Canis lupus familiaris: one gene and its partners. The protein of the gene in region 2 interacts with the protein of the main gene of each other region in a pairwise test. Links are inferred from orthologs where the notes say so. Each region holds a gene or a part of one and is shown on either strand. Other genes may lie near its edges. The genes, in order: AURKB, SEPTIN1 and AMOT.

What was found.
Region 1: the proteins of SEPTIN1 (region 2) and AURKB interact in binary tests that used the Homo sapiens proteins (3 or more experiments, as listed by UniProt). The link is inferred for Canis lupus familiaris from reciprocal best matches to the Homo sapiens genes SEPTIN1 and AURKB.
Region 3: the proteins of SEPTIN1 (region 2) and AMOT interact in binary tests that used the Homo sapiens proteins (3 or more experiments, as listed by UniProt). The two-hybrid records come from large-scale screens. The link is inferred for Canis lupus familiaris from reciprocal best matches to the Homo sapiens genes SEPTIN1 and AMOT.

What each region holds. Positions count from the first base shown.
Region 1 is NC_049226.1:33,232,156-33,236,292, forward strand, and holds the start of AURKB (aurora kinase B), read right to left. Parts: upstream 2,814-4,137; 5' UTR 2,635-2,813; exon of another isoform or gene 2,580-2,634; intron 2,347-2,579; 5' UTR 2,120-2,346; exon of another isoform or gene 2,065-2,119; intron 1,638-2,064; exon of another isoform or gene 1,566-1,637; intron 1,038-1,565; exon of another isoform or gene 966-1,037; intron 407-965; 5' UTR 90-406; coding exon of another isoform or gene 51-89; intron 1-50. UniProt on the Homo sapiens protein: Serine/threonine-protein kinase component of the chromosomal passenger complex (CPC), a complex that acts as a key regulator of mitosis.
Region 2 is NC_049227.1:17,876,410-17,880,605, reverse strand, and holds the start of SEPTIN1 (septin-1), read right to left. Parts: upstream 2,891-4,196; 5' UTR 2,677-2,890; coding exon 2,674-2,676; intron 2,498-2,673; coding exon 2,401-2,497; intron 2,314-2,400; coding exon 2,227-2,313; intron 2,015-2,226; coding exon 1,891-2,014; intron 1,597-1,890; coding exon 1,462-1,596; intron 1,368-1,461; coding exon 1,250-1,367; intron 401-1,249; coding exon 299-400; intron 180-298; coding exon 80-179; intron 1-79. UniProt on the Homo sapiens protein: Filament-forming cytoskeletal GTPase. May play a role in cytokinesis.
Region 3 is NC_049260.1:86,411,879-86,415,201, forward strand, and holds part of AMOT (angiomotin), read right to left. Parts: intron 2,120-3,323; coding exon 1,406-2,119; intron 1,070-1,405; coding exon 972-1,069; 3' UTR 1-971.

The DNA of each region.
Region 1 (4,137 bases), on a different chromosome or scaffold from region 2:
ATGCAAGACAGAAAAAAATAATTCCCCATTTTTTATCTCCTAAAACGTACTCTGCTTAGGGTGGGCAGTGATGGGGAGCTGGGCTGCATGCTGCCCCCATCACATGCCTTCCGAGGCAGGGTTGCAGGAGCTCCTGGGTTGCTGTCGCCTTCCTAAGTCATCAGCAATCCCCAGTTGGAGCACGCACAGCTCAGCCGTGAGGGCGGACTCCCTGCTTCCGTCTTTGCACAGGTGACACAGTGACCACTCCAACAGAGTGGAGTGGCTGGAGCACCCGGACAGCCGCTGGGGAGCTGAGCAGACGCGGAAGGCGAGGCACAGTGTCCAGCCGGCGAGCAGGCGCGTGGTGCTGAGCCCGCCCAAATTCCTCTTCTGCAGCCCAGGCCTGGTCCCTCCAACGGAGGCCCTGTTAGGAAAGAGATGTCCAGGAAGAAATTTCCCCCTGGGAAGGAGAAGGCCTATGGAGTGGCTGGCCTGCATTCCTCTGCTCCCTTTGCCTCCACCAACAGACCAGAAGCAGCAAAATTGCACGGCTCCAGGCTTCTGGGACATTTAGGAAGTCTGAGGAACATCTGCATTTAATTAATTAATTGCTACTTATAATAATTATCAATTCTTGCCACACCCTTTCCAACAATGAATCTCTATTGCTCCAAGTACCTTTTCTGAACAAGAACTCGAGGCTGTTCCGTGAACAATTCGCGTTAGGATACCTAAAACATCTACGAGACTAAAGGTATCGCTATCCGCTGATTTGACAAAAACAGTGCAGATGCAACATTAATTCCTAAATTTGTATTTAGAATATTTAGAAAACGCATACATTTCGGGGGAAAAAAACAAAACCTTAGAGGTGCCGGAGTTAGTATTCTTTTGGTACAATGAAACGAATTTCAACCTCCTCTTCCTTTGCCGGAAAGGAAAATACCAAGGCAAATCGAGATAACGAAAATTGCAACCTTCCGTGACCCCGACGTGATTTGAACACGCAACCTTCTGATCTGGAGTCAGACGCGCTACCGTTGCGCCACGAGGCCCTCCCGCGTCCGCGGTCGCCCGGGTCTCGTGAACAGAACTATCGTCAGCAGCAGGGGGCGGAGCCAAAGCCTCAGCCCCGCCCCCCCGGGGGTTCAGCCCGCGTCACCTCCAGAGCCGTGCGCGGTCACCTGGGGATGGAACCTCGTCCTCGTGCGCAATCTATGCTTAGGGGCTCTTGGCGCATAGCCCAGCTCTTTAACCTCAGGACACACAGAGAAGCAGCTAGTGTGACTTATTTCCGGGGGTGACAAAGCCATCGCGGTGTCGCTGCAGCTCTGGTCCCTCCCCTAGAATCTTAAATGTAACCCCGGTTTTATCAGCGACTCAGAAAGCCTCTTTCACTAGGTCCTCGGAATCTTGCTTTGTCGTGTGCCGGCTGTGCGTGGTCAAGCGCTGTCCCTTCCGGGGTGACAGGGGTGTCTCGGGTCCCCTTGGGTCTCCCCGCCTGGCCCACACCCACCCACCGCTCCGCCTCGCGCCTGGGCACGCACTGAATCCTTGACGTGGGGAACAGGGACTTGCGGCGGGCGTTGGTGGTATAGTGGTGAGCATAGCTGCCTTCCAAGCAGTTGACCCGGGTTCGATTCCCGGCCAACGCAGCACTTTTTCCCCCTCCCCACAAACTTTTCAAAACCTCGCGCCGGGATGGCTTTTCCGCGGGGACCCTGTGGCCCAGTCACCGCCCGCGCAGGGGGCTGCACGCCCAGCGGAGCCCCGTGACGGCGCGCTTCTGTCCTCGCTCCGACCGCGTCTCTAAGCACATTCACTGAACGGAGGGGACCGAGGGCTCATTCGGCAGCACGATTCACATGCAAGTTGCTTGAATGCAAAACACAAACTCGAACTTTTAGAATATGAGCCCGAGCGCCAGGGGCAGCACCAGCTATCCTCTCTACTTTGTGCCTTCCCGTTCTCCCTTCTTTTTAAAGAAAATCTCCACCGCACGCCCTGGGACGCATACTTCACCGTGAATAGGATTTTATCGTAGGACGAGAAGAACGAAAGAAAGCAAAAGGCACACCGCTTCTCCCCGTCGGGGAATCGAACCCCGGTCTCCCGCGTGACAGGCGGGGATACTCACCACTATACTAACGAGGAGGGAGCTGAAGGAGGCGCTCTCCGGCTCGGAGATCTGGAGCTGTGGCCGCGATCGGCCGGGGCTTGCACCCTTCCTGCCGCTTGGGAAGAGACAGCCGGAGACCCCCCGCTCGCCCTGGACTGCCCCCAAGCCCACGGAGGCCGGGTCGTGGTGGGTCCCGGCCCGTTCCGCTCCCTGTCATCCGCAGCCCCGGCCCCCTGGGCCCGGACCTGCGCAGGAAGAAGGGGGCGGGAAGGCGAAGGGCTGGCCCGGGTCGGTGCGCTCTCCCCGTGCGCGCCCCCCGCGGGCAGGCCGGCCGGGCTGTGCGCTCGGAGCAAAAGAGCTCCCGGCGAACCTGCTCCAGGCTCTGGCCGGTTGCGCGGGGTCTGCGGGGAGGCCTGCGCGCGGCGCCGGTCCCTTCCCCAGCGCCTCCGGGCGTCCCGGTCTCCGCCAAAACCAAATGGGGCTCGTCCGGGATTTGAACCCGGGACCTCTCGCACCCGAAGCGAGAATCATACCCCTAGACCAACGAGCCGACGTGAGAGAACGCTCGCGGACGCCTTTAGAGGTCGTAGCAGGCCCGATGCGGTCCAGGGCCACGGCTCTGGGTGGGGGCGGCCTGGCGAGCGCGCGGGGACCACCCGCCCCGACGCCGCCGACTCCCGAGCGGGCTCTGGGGATCTGCTCGGCCGCCCGCGCGCTCCGACTCCTCCCAGGAAATAACGTCGGGGAAGTAGGAGGGAGTGGTCTCGGCCTCCCGCGCTCCCCTCCCTCCCCGCGCAGCTCTCCGGGGCTACCTGCTCGCCGTGGTCACGGTCTCCGTCACCTGGAGTCTCGACTCTAACGGGCCGCGCCCGCCGCCCTGGGACCCAGTGCGCTGGCGCAGAGGTGCCTGGTTGGGGACGATGAATGAGCCCTGAGCTGCCTAGGTGCACACCTGCGCCTCCATCCGCCCCTGCACCTGTCCACCCTCCTGGAGCGATGAGCAGCGCCAGGGCCCAGGCCAGGGAATAATTCCCGGGGCCGAGAAGACCCACGGAAGAGGAGTCGTTAACGAATGGGGGGCGGGGCGGGGCGGGGTCGGGGACAGGCGGGATCGGGGCACCGAGCCGGGTCTGGCCACCAGCACTGGTTGCAGGACTTCCCGCCAGTGCGATCAGGTTACCGCTATCTTCCCGACTCCCCTCCGCTCTCCCCTTACCTCCTAGGACGGCCAGGCAGGAGCCCCCCCCGCCGCCTAAGGCCCCCAGACGGTAGGGGGATCCGAGGCAAACGCCCGCACGAGTGTCTAAGGCCAGGTCTTAGGGCCTCGCAGAGGGTTCCGGGCTCCGGGAGCCTCTAAGCGCTTAACGCCCTCAAGCGTGCCCTCGCTCTGGGGCCACCCGGAGTCGCGGCGAGACACGGTGGCGCCCGGTGCCCGCCACCTGCGCTGCCTCCCCTCTGCTCGGTGCCTGCTCTGGGGAGTTCTCCCAGCAGGGTCTGAGCAGCCGCGGCCCTGCACCTCCTGGTAGCACCTCGGGGCTGAACCATTTTGTTCCACCTGCGGGTCGTCTGATTTGTAGGGCCAGGCCCTTCCTAATGCCCAACACACCGATACTTTGGTGGGGAGACATCACTGAAGGGTTCAACCCTTCGCTCTTTCTTTCCCGCGTGTCCCTGGGGCAGACAGCAGGGGAGGGCAGCAGGGGACAGCCCCTCCTTTCCTGTCCGTGTCCCAAGCCTTTTTGCGGGGCTCAAGCGCTGAGGGCTGGTGTTCCAGCATCTCCCTCTCCCTTTTGCAATTTGTGTCTCCTCTTAGGCCCCAGCGTTCCCCCCAAGTCTCTAGTTACTGCTCTCTTAGCTGCTCTCAAGCACCTGAGATCTGCCCAGAGGCGGAGCCCTACCTCCCTGATAGGATGGGATGAGCGCTGTGGCCCATGTCCCTAGAAACCCCGGGCGGTCTGAGAGAGTGCACAGATAGCCTGAGGCGCCATCCGTGGGCCCTACTTTCGGAATCCAAGAACTAAGGTATAAACTGATCA
Region 2 (4,196 bases):
CTTTACATGTTGGGTGCCATTGACTCAGAGGCGTCTTGGGCTCCCCGCTGGCCTCAGAAAGCATGCCCACCTTACTCACCCTCCACGGTACCCCAGGAGTAGCGGCGTCCCCTCACAGGCCGGGTCCCACCGTCCCTCACTACCTCGCAGGAACCAACAACTGCAAAAGGGATGCTTTCCTGAAAGGCAGGAGTCAGGGATCACCGGTGGCCCCTCTTGGGCAGAAACCTCGTTGTCAACCTCCACCTCTGCAGCCGCAGCCCTGGCTTCTTTGCCCCATCCTCCTTTGCATCTTTACCTTCATCTCTGCATCCTGCCTCTTGAAGTCCTCATCCTCATCAGAGTCACAATCGGGGAACTGGTAGATGTTGATCTCTTCCTCTTTCAACTGGTCCCTGATCTAGGAGCAGACAGATGCACAGACAGTGAGAAACAGAGGCTGTGAGCAGCAGACACTGCCTGGCTGGAGACAGTGAGATAAGGTACCAGGTGGTCAGAGGCAGGTGACATGAAAGGCAGATGGTGACATACAGGAGGCCCCAAACCAAAATCTCAGAAGGGTGCCTGGGCTGGCTCACTCAGTAGAGCATGTGACTTTTGACTTCAGGGTTGTGAGTTCAAGCCCCACGTTGGGTGTAGAGATTACTTAAGATCTTGGGGCCCCTGGGTGGCTCGGTGGGTGAAGCATCTGACTTGATTTCAGCTCAGGTTTTGATCTCAGGGTCATGAGCTCAAGCCCCTGTTGGGCTTAAAAAAATTTTTTTTAATTAAAAAAAATACTTTTATTTAAATCTTAAAAAAAAACAAAACAAAACAAAACAAAACAAAACAAAAAAAAACTCAAGTAATGAGAGAGATATATATGGTGAAAAAGAGACAAAGACACCCTAACAGGGATGACTGGAGCCTGGGAAGATTATAGGATGAGGCAAATACCAAAAGCCCAGGAGAGAGAGGCCTAAGCAGAAACAGTGAGAGAGGGCTCTGAAGTTACGATGGGGATCATCATTCCTTGCTGCCACCCTCAGACAGACAGGCCTTAGCCAAGCAACCAGTCCAGGGATTCTATTCCGAGCCTCCAGCTTCTTCAGCCAGCTTACTACCCACCTTCCTCAGAAACTCTCTCCTGCAGTGTGGTTTGACTCATTTTGCTTCCTTTCCCGAGATCAAAGAAGTCAAAGCTGATTTCAGGTTTGATAACAACTTTTGGCTTCATGTAGGGCCAAAGATCAGAGGTTACCAGACATACCTTCTGCTTGAGAGCCTGGGTCTCCTTAGGCATCAGGGCATCTGCTTTGCCAATGACTGGGATGATGTTGACCTTTTCATGTACTGCCCGGAGGAAGGCCACATCTAGGGGCCGGAGCCTGCGTGGAGTGATTGGTCAGGGTTCAGCCTTAGGCCACGGAAACCTTCCCTGCCCCTACCCAATACCTCAACCCTCGAGGGTGTCCCCCAGACCCTCGGCCAAAGGGTGAGATGAAGTAGAGGCAGCAGTGGACACGGGAATCCTGAATGTTCTTCCGGTTCAGGCCACTCTCATCCCTAAGATACTGCTCAAATTGCTCCTCAATGAAGCGCACCACAGGCAGCCAGCTGGGGTGTGGGGCAAGAGAGAACAGTCACAGGGGAGGGGCCACAGGGGAGGGAAGGGGTCGAAGCTAGCCAGGACCCTGGAGGTGGGAACTAGTTTCTTGGACTCTAACCAAAGACATCAAAGGAGATTGATGAGGTGTAGTTCAGCTGTTGGGAAGCCACATGGCCACCAGATGCAGACCCACCTTTTGGGGAGGGCAGGGGCAGAGCAGACCAGTCCTGTAACTGACCCCTCAGCCTTCACAGAGTAGCCACATGGGGAAGCTTAGCCCGCGCTCCTTCCATTGTTCTCACCAGTCTGAACAATCCACGGAGTCCCCAAAGCCAGGTGTATCCACCACTGTCAGCTTCACCTTAATACCCCCCTCCTCGATCTCCACACCCCGGCGCTCAATGGTCAGTGTTCGTGTCAAGCGAGCTGTGGAGATGAGAAGTGGTCAGGGAGCTTCGCAGGGGTCTGAGCCAGGTTTCCTTTCTCAGAATCCCAGTTGCCCCCACCCATTTTTTTCAGGGGAGTCTCAGAAAAGCACTGAGCTACCCGAGTGCCCCCAAAAAGTCAGGGGAGACCCAGATGAGTGCCACCTGGGGATAGGGGAGACAGAGGACCTGGAGAGGACAGGATGGTCTTACCGCTGGCCTCTGGCAGTTGCCGGTCCTCATAGAGATTGGTGAGAAACAGGCTGTTGATGAGGGTGGATTTTCCCAAGCCTGACTCCCCTGTGGACAGGACAGACCCACCTGGTCAGGTGAGGAGACAGCCAGGGTCTCTTGAGGACCCAGTCCCCTGTCCCAAACCCATCAGACCTGCCACCATGAGTGTGAAGTCGAAGCCCTTCTTGACGGACTTGCGGTGCAGCTGATTGGGGAGGGCGGCGAAACCCACATACTCCTTGTCCTGTTGCTAGGGGGCAGACAGTATGAGGCTGCTGGGAGCGGCAGGCAGGGCCCCCAGTGTAAGCTGACTTCTCCTTGGGAGTGAGGAGAAGTCAGCCTACCATGGGTTGACTTGGGCCTGGCGACTCCGGGGTTTGGGGGCTGAGGGCAAAGATGCCTGTATTCCTGGGCAGAAGGACTTACCATGGCCCTGCTAGCTGTCGCTGCACCTGCTGTCTCTCCCCACTTCCTCTGGTGGGGCAGGAAGTTGAGTGTGGCAAATAAGGGGGCGGGCAATGTAGGAAGCTGAGATGCTCGAACTGGTGAGGAAAGCCAAGACCAAGAAAACCTGGGAGTTCTCACTTTCTGGATCCCTTTGGCTATGCCCTCTTGGGAAGCTTCAACACCTCAGTTCTCTGCACACCCTTATTCCAAGCCCCCACTGTGACCCCATCACCCTGGTGAGAGGTGGGGTATAGGCAGAGAGGAAGGAAGCAGATTGGTGTCTTTAGCAAGTGAGATGAGACTTTGACTGAGATGGTTAAAAAAAAAGTTCCCAGAGACTAAGTGGACCAAAAGTCTTAACAGATTTAGGGGTGGAAGAAGCCATCAATTTTCCTTACCAGCTCATGCAATTGATTTTTTTTTAAAGATTCTATTCATTTATTCATGAGAGACACAGACAGAGGGGCAGAGACATAGGCAGAGGGAGAAGCAGGCTCCTGGATGGGGAGTCCAATGCAGGACTCAATCTCAGAATCCCAGGATCACGCCCTAAGCTGAAGGTAGATGATCAACCACTGAGCCACCCAGGTGCCCCTGATTCATTTTTTTCCCCCCATGCAATTGGTTCTTTTTCTTTTTCTTTTTTTTTTTTAAGATTTTATTTATTTATTTGATAGAGAAAAAGCACAAATACATAGAGTGGCAAGCAGAGGGAAAGGGAAAAGTAGGCTCCTCACTGAGCAGAGAGCCCAGTTGGTGGGGGGGGGGGGGGGCTCCATCCCAGAACCCTGAGATCATGACCTGAGCTGGAGGCAGACACTTAACTGACTGAGCCACCCAGGTACCCCTTCATGCAAGGGATTCTTTTTTTTTTTTTTTTTTTTTTTTTAAGATTTTATGTATTTGAGAGACAGAGAGAGCACAAGCAAGTGAGCAGCAGAGGGAAAGGGCGAAGCAGTCTTCCAGCTGAGCAGGAGCCCAAAGCCTGGCTCCATCCCAGGTCCCTAATGTGCTTCTGTGTGTAATTTTTTGGTGTGTATGCATTTTGAAAAATGTGTAGTGGGGATCCCTGGGTGGCTCAGCGGTTTAGCACCTGCCTTTGGCCCAGGGTGCGATCCTGGAGTCCCGGGATCGAGTCCCGCATCAGGCTCCCAGCATGGAGCCTGCTTCTCCCTCTGCCTGTGTCTCTGCCTCTTTCTCTCTGTCTGTCTATCATGAATAAATAAATAAAAGAAAAACCTTAAAAAAATGAAAAATGTGTAGTATACAGTGCATGTTTACACAAATGATTATATATATGAATACATATTTGTTAACTTTTTCATTCAGCACTATTTTTTTAAATTTTATTTATTTATGCATGAGAGACAGAGAGAGAGGCAGAGACATAGGCAGAGGGAGAAGCAGGCTCCCCCAGGGAGCCCGATATGGGACTCCATCCTGGGACTCCAGGATCACACCCTGAGCCGAAGGGAGACACTCAACCGTTGAGCCACCCAGGC
Region 3 (3,323 bases), on a different chromosome or scaffold from region 2:
ATCACCAGAAATGCTTCCTCGTTTTGCCAATGACTGGAAATTTGAGACTGGTGACACAGCCAGTGAGTCTGTGCTGGAGAAGAAATAAACACAAAGCAGATTGGTCTCAGGAAAGGCAAGCGAGCTGTGCTGGTGGCCACACACAGCACCTCATGCAACTCTCCATCAAGGCCTCTGATGGTCTAACTCCCTATGAAAGAGGAAGTTATACATCATCACACAGCTAATTTACTCTCCTAGCATCTGAAAGCAATATATTAATTATCCAAATGCATAAATTACTCCAGAGTATATATATGAAATGTATGAACTTCCACAAGGGAACCAAAAGAATCCACTTCCAAAGCACCACTGAAATGAAGATAAACAAACTCCTGGCACAGGGCAGCTGGGAAATCGGGAGGGAAAATTAGCTCCAGCACCCTTCCACACCCCAATATCCCCTGCCTTTTCTCCAGCTTACATAGCTCCCGAAACTATTCTCTTCCATGAGCCCAAGATGAGAGCTCTCTCTCTCTGGATGCTGCCTAGATGGTAAGTGTACAAAACAGCACATGTGCAAATTCTCTCCAGCTTCCCACTTCTGAACTACATGTTACACACTGCCTTCCAAACGTACTGTGCTCTTCAATAAAAATGATCTGGAATATGGCAAGGCTAAATAAAATGACACACGTTGAAAACATTCATGTACATCCAGCTATTAACAGTCCTAGCATTTGTATAAATCCCAACAATAAACTTTAGAGCACATTCTGATTAATCGGTCTTTAGAGGTAACGCTCTAAGTGTGTACCAGACTAGGCTGGAGTTTGTATGGTGTTACTTAAGTACTACATCGTCTCAATAGAAAGCCCCTTTAAAGAACATCCCCCCCAACCCTAGTCCTCACCCTCAAAATAAGAACAAACAAAAGGGAAAAATGATTAAAAGCACTCTTGCTGAGCAACCGCAGTTCTCGGATGTGCCGTTTAGATGAGATATTCTACCATCTCTGCATCAGGCTCTTGTCCCAGGAGCTGAATGGGAGCTTTCCTTTCCAGAGTATTGGAGTGGAAAACAGGGCCATCTAAACAGAGACAGGGGATTAGAAAGCAGTTAGGGATAAGGTGACGATTCCTAGAAACAGACACCTTCCGAGCCACGAAGCCAATGGCAAAGTGAGACTTGCCTGACACCCCCTCCCCGTGTCCACCTGAACATTTGCTTCTACTAGGAGAAGGGCCTTGGCTCACCCCAGTTCCCATCCTGGTGTCCCAAGAAGCCATTTACAGATGCTGCCCTTGTGCCTTGTGATCCATTCCCTTTAGCACATGAACGACTGTGGCCAAGTGACCAGCGGGTCAACAAACCACCTGTAATTGAGGGCAGAACCCAAAGCTTCCCCAGTATGGACAATCATTACCTGTCTTATCGGGACTGCAGGTCACGCTTGGTATAGACAAACGACGGGACCCAGAACTGGCAGCTGGACTTGAAGAAGCCTCAGCCAGAGCCAGGGCCGGAGCTGGAGCTGGAGCTGGAGCTGGAGCTGGAGGAGAAGCCGCAGCCGGAGCTGGAGTTGGTGCCTGAGTCGGAGCCGAAGCAGAAGCCTGAGACGCTTGCGGAGCCAAAACTGGAGCGGTAGCCGAAGCTGGAAGCGGAGCCGGAGCAGCTGAGGAAACCTGAACAGCAGCAGTGGGAGCAACAGCAGCAGCAGCAGCAGCAGCAGAGGCAGCAGCGAGAATCGGAGTGGCAGGAGCTGAAGAAACAGCAGTAGCAGCGAGGGCAGTGGCAGCGGCCGGAGATGGGGCAGAGGCAGTGGCAGCTGGAGCGGCAGCAGCAGCAACGGCAACTGGAGCGGTGGCTACCATGGTGGTGGTGGTGGTGGCAGCGGTGGCAGTGTTGGTGGCAGCGTTGGCAGTGATGGTGGCAGCAGCAGCGGCAGAAGCGGCTGGCATGGGAACAGAGATGGGAGCGACAGCGGCGGTCTTGTTCGGTTCCGTTCCCCGTTCCGTCTGGGTGCTGCAGTCACGGCTGCCCGTCTTGGAGTGAGCAGACAGCAGGGGCGTGGACGGTGGCACCGGCGATGGGGTGGAAGGGACGGACTCGACGCGGTAGTCTCCACCCAGGAGAATACCTATAAGGGGAGAAAGAGACAGGGGTTAGGCAGGTATGGGCTCCTGGGACCCAGATGCACACGTCTACTGGCCCTCTTCTTCCATGTAGAAGGTTCAGGAGGAACTTTCCTTGTGCCTCCAGAGAACCCAGAAGGCGGGTGTGGCAGGCTCATCCCACCTGGTCCTCACTCTCCACCCCAGCACCGTGGATGACACTTTTAGGTGTCCTGTGAATCAGTTTTGATTTTTTTCCAACAGCCACTGATTTCCAGCGAGCTTTCAGAATGCTTCTAGTCAGTTCCACTTATCACCCACATCATCCACTACCAGACAGCTGGGAAGGATTGGGGAAATAAGTTTGTAGTCATGGATGAATGTGAAAATAATTTTGTAAATGAAGGTTCTAATCAAGACCGTGGTCTCTGGAATGCGTCCTCTAGCCAAGGGACACTGCAAGTGTCCGACAACTAAAAGGGATATCAGAAACAACAAAAAGACCTAAAATTAAAATACAAAGCTGGTTTTCTCAGAATCTAAAAATGTACCTCATGGTGTCCATGATATTTCTGGGATTTTGATTAGAGGGTAAGGCCTAGGGATCCCTGGGTGGCACAGCGGTTTGGCGCCTGCCTTTGGCCTAGGGCACGATCCTGGAGACCCAGGATCGATTCCCACATCGGGCTCCTGGTGCATGGAGCCTGCTTCTCTCTGCCTGTGTCTCTGCCTCTCTTTCTCTCTCTGTGACTATCATAAATAAATAAAAATTTAAAAAAATATTAGAGGGGAAGGCATGGACAGGAATGGAATGAAAAAGTACATTCAGTTCTCATCTCAGAACATTCTGATAACAAAAACCTGCCACCCAGCATCATTTAGCTTAACTAGAACTCTGAGTCCTTCTATTATATAGGAGGAAAGAACAGAGAAGATCTGGAATTCTGAAATCTTGACTGACATGAAGCTCACGTGGGCTTTGGACAAAGACTAAAGATCTCAAGTGGCAAGGTCAGATCTGAGAATTTTTAAAAGGAAACTGAAGTTATCTTCCTTCCCACCCAAGGAGAACTCAGAACTCTTATCTTTGAAGGCCTTGGATTCAATCAGTGTTCTCTCAGTGAGATATCAGAATGTGGAGGAGCTCCTTTCAGGAGGATAGAAACCCAACCTGGTATATATCATCCTCGCTAGAATGTGGACCATCGCTCCTTTTCCTTGCTGAATGGG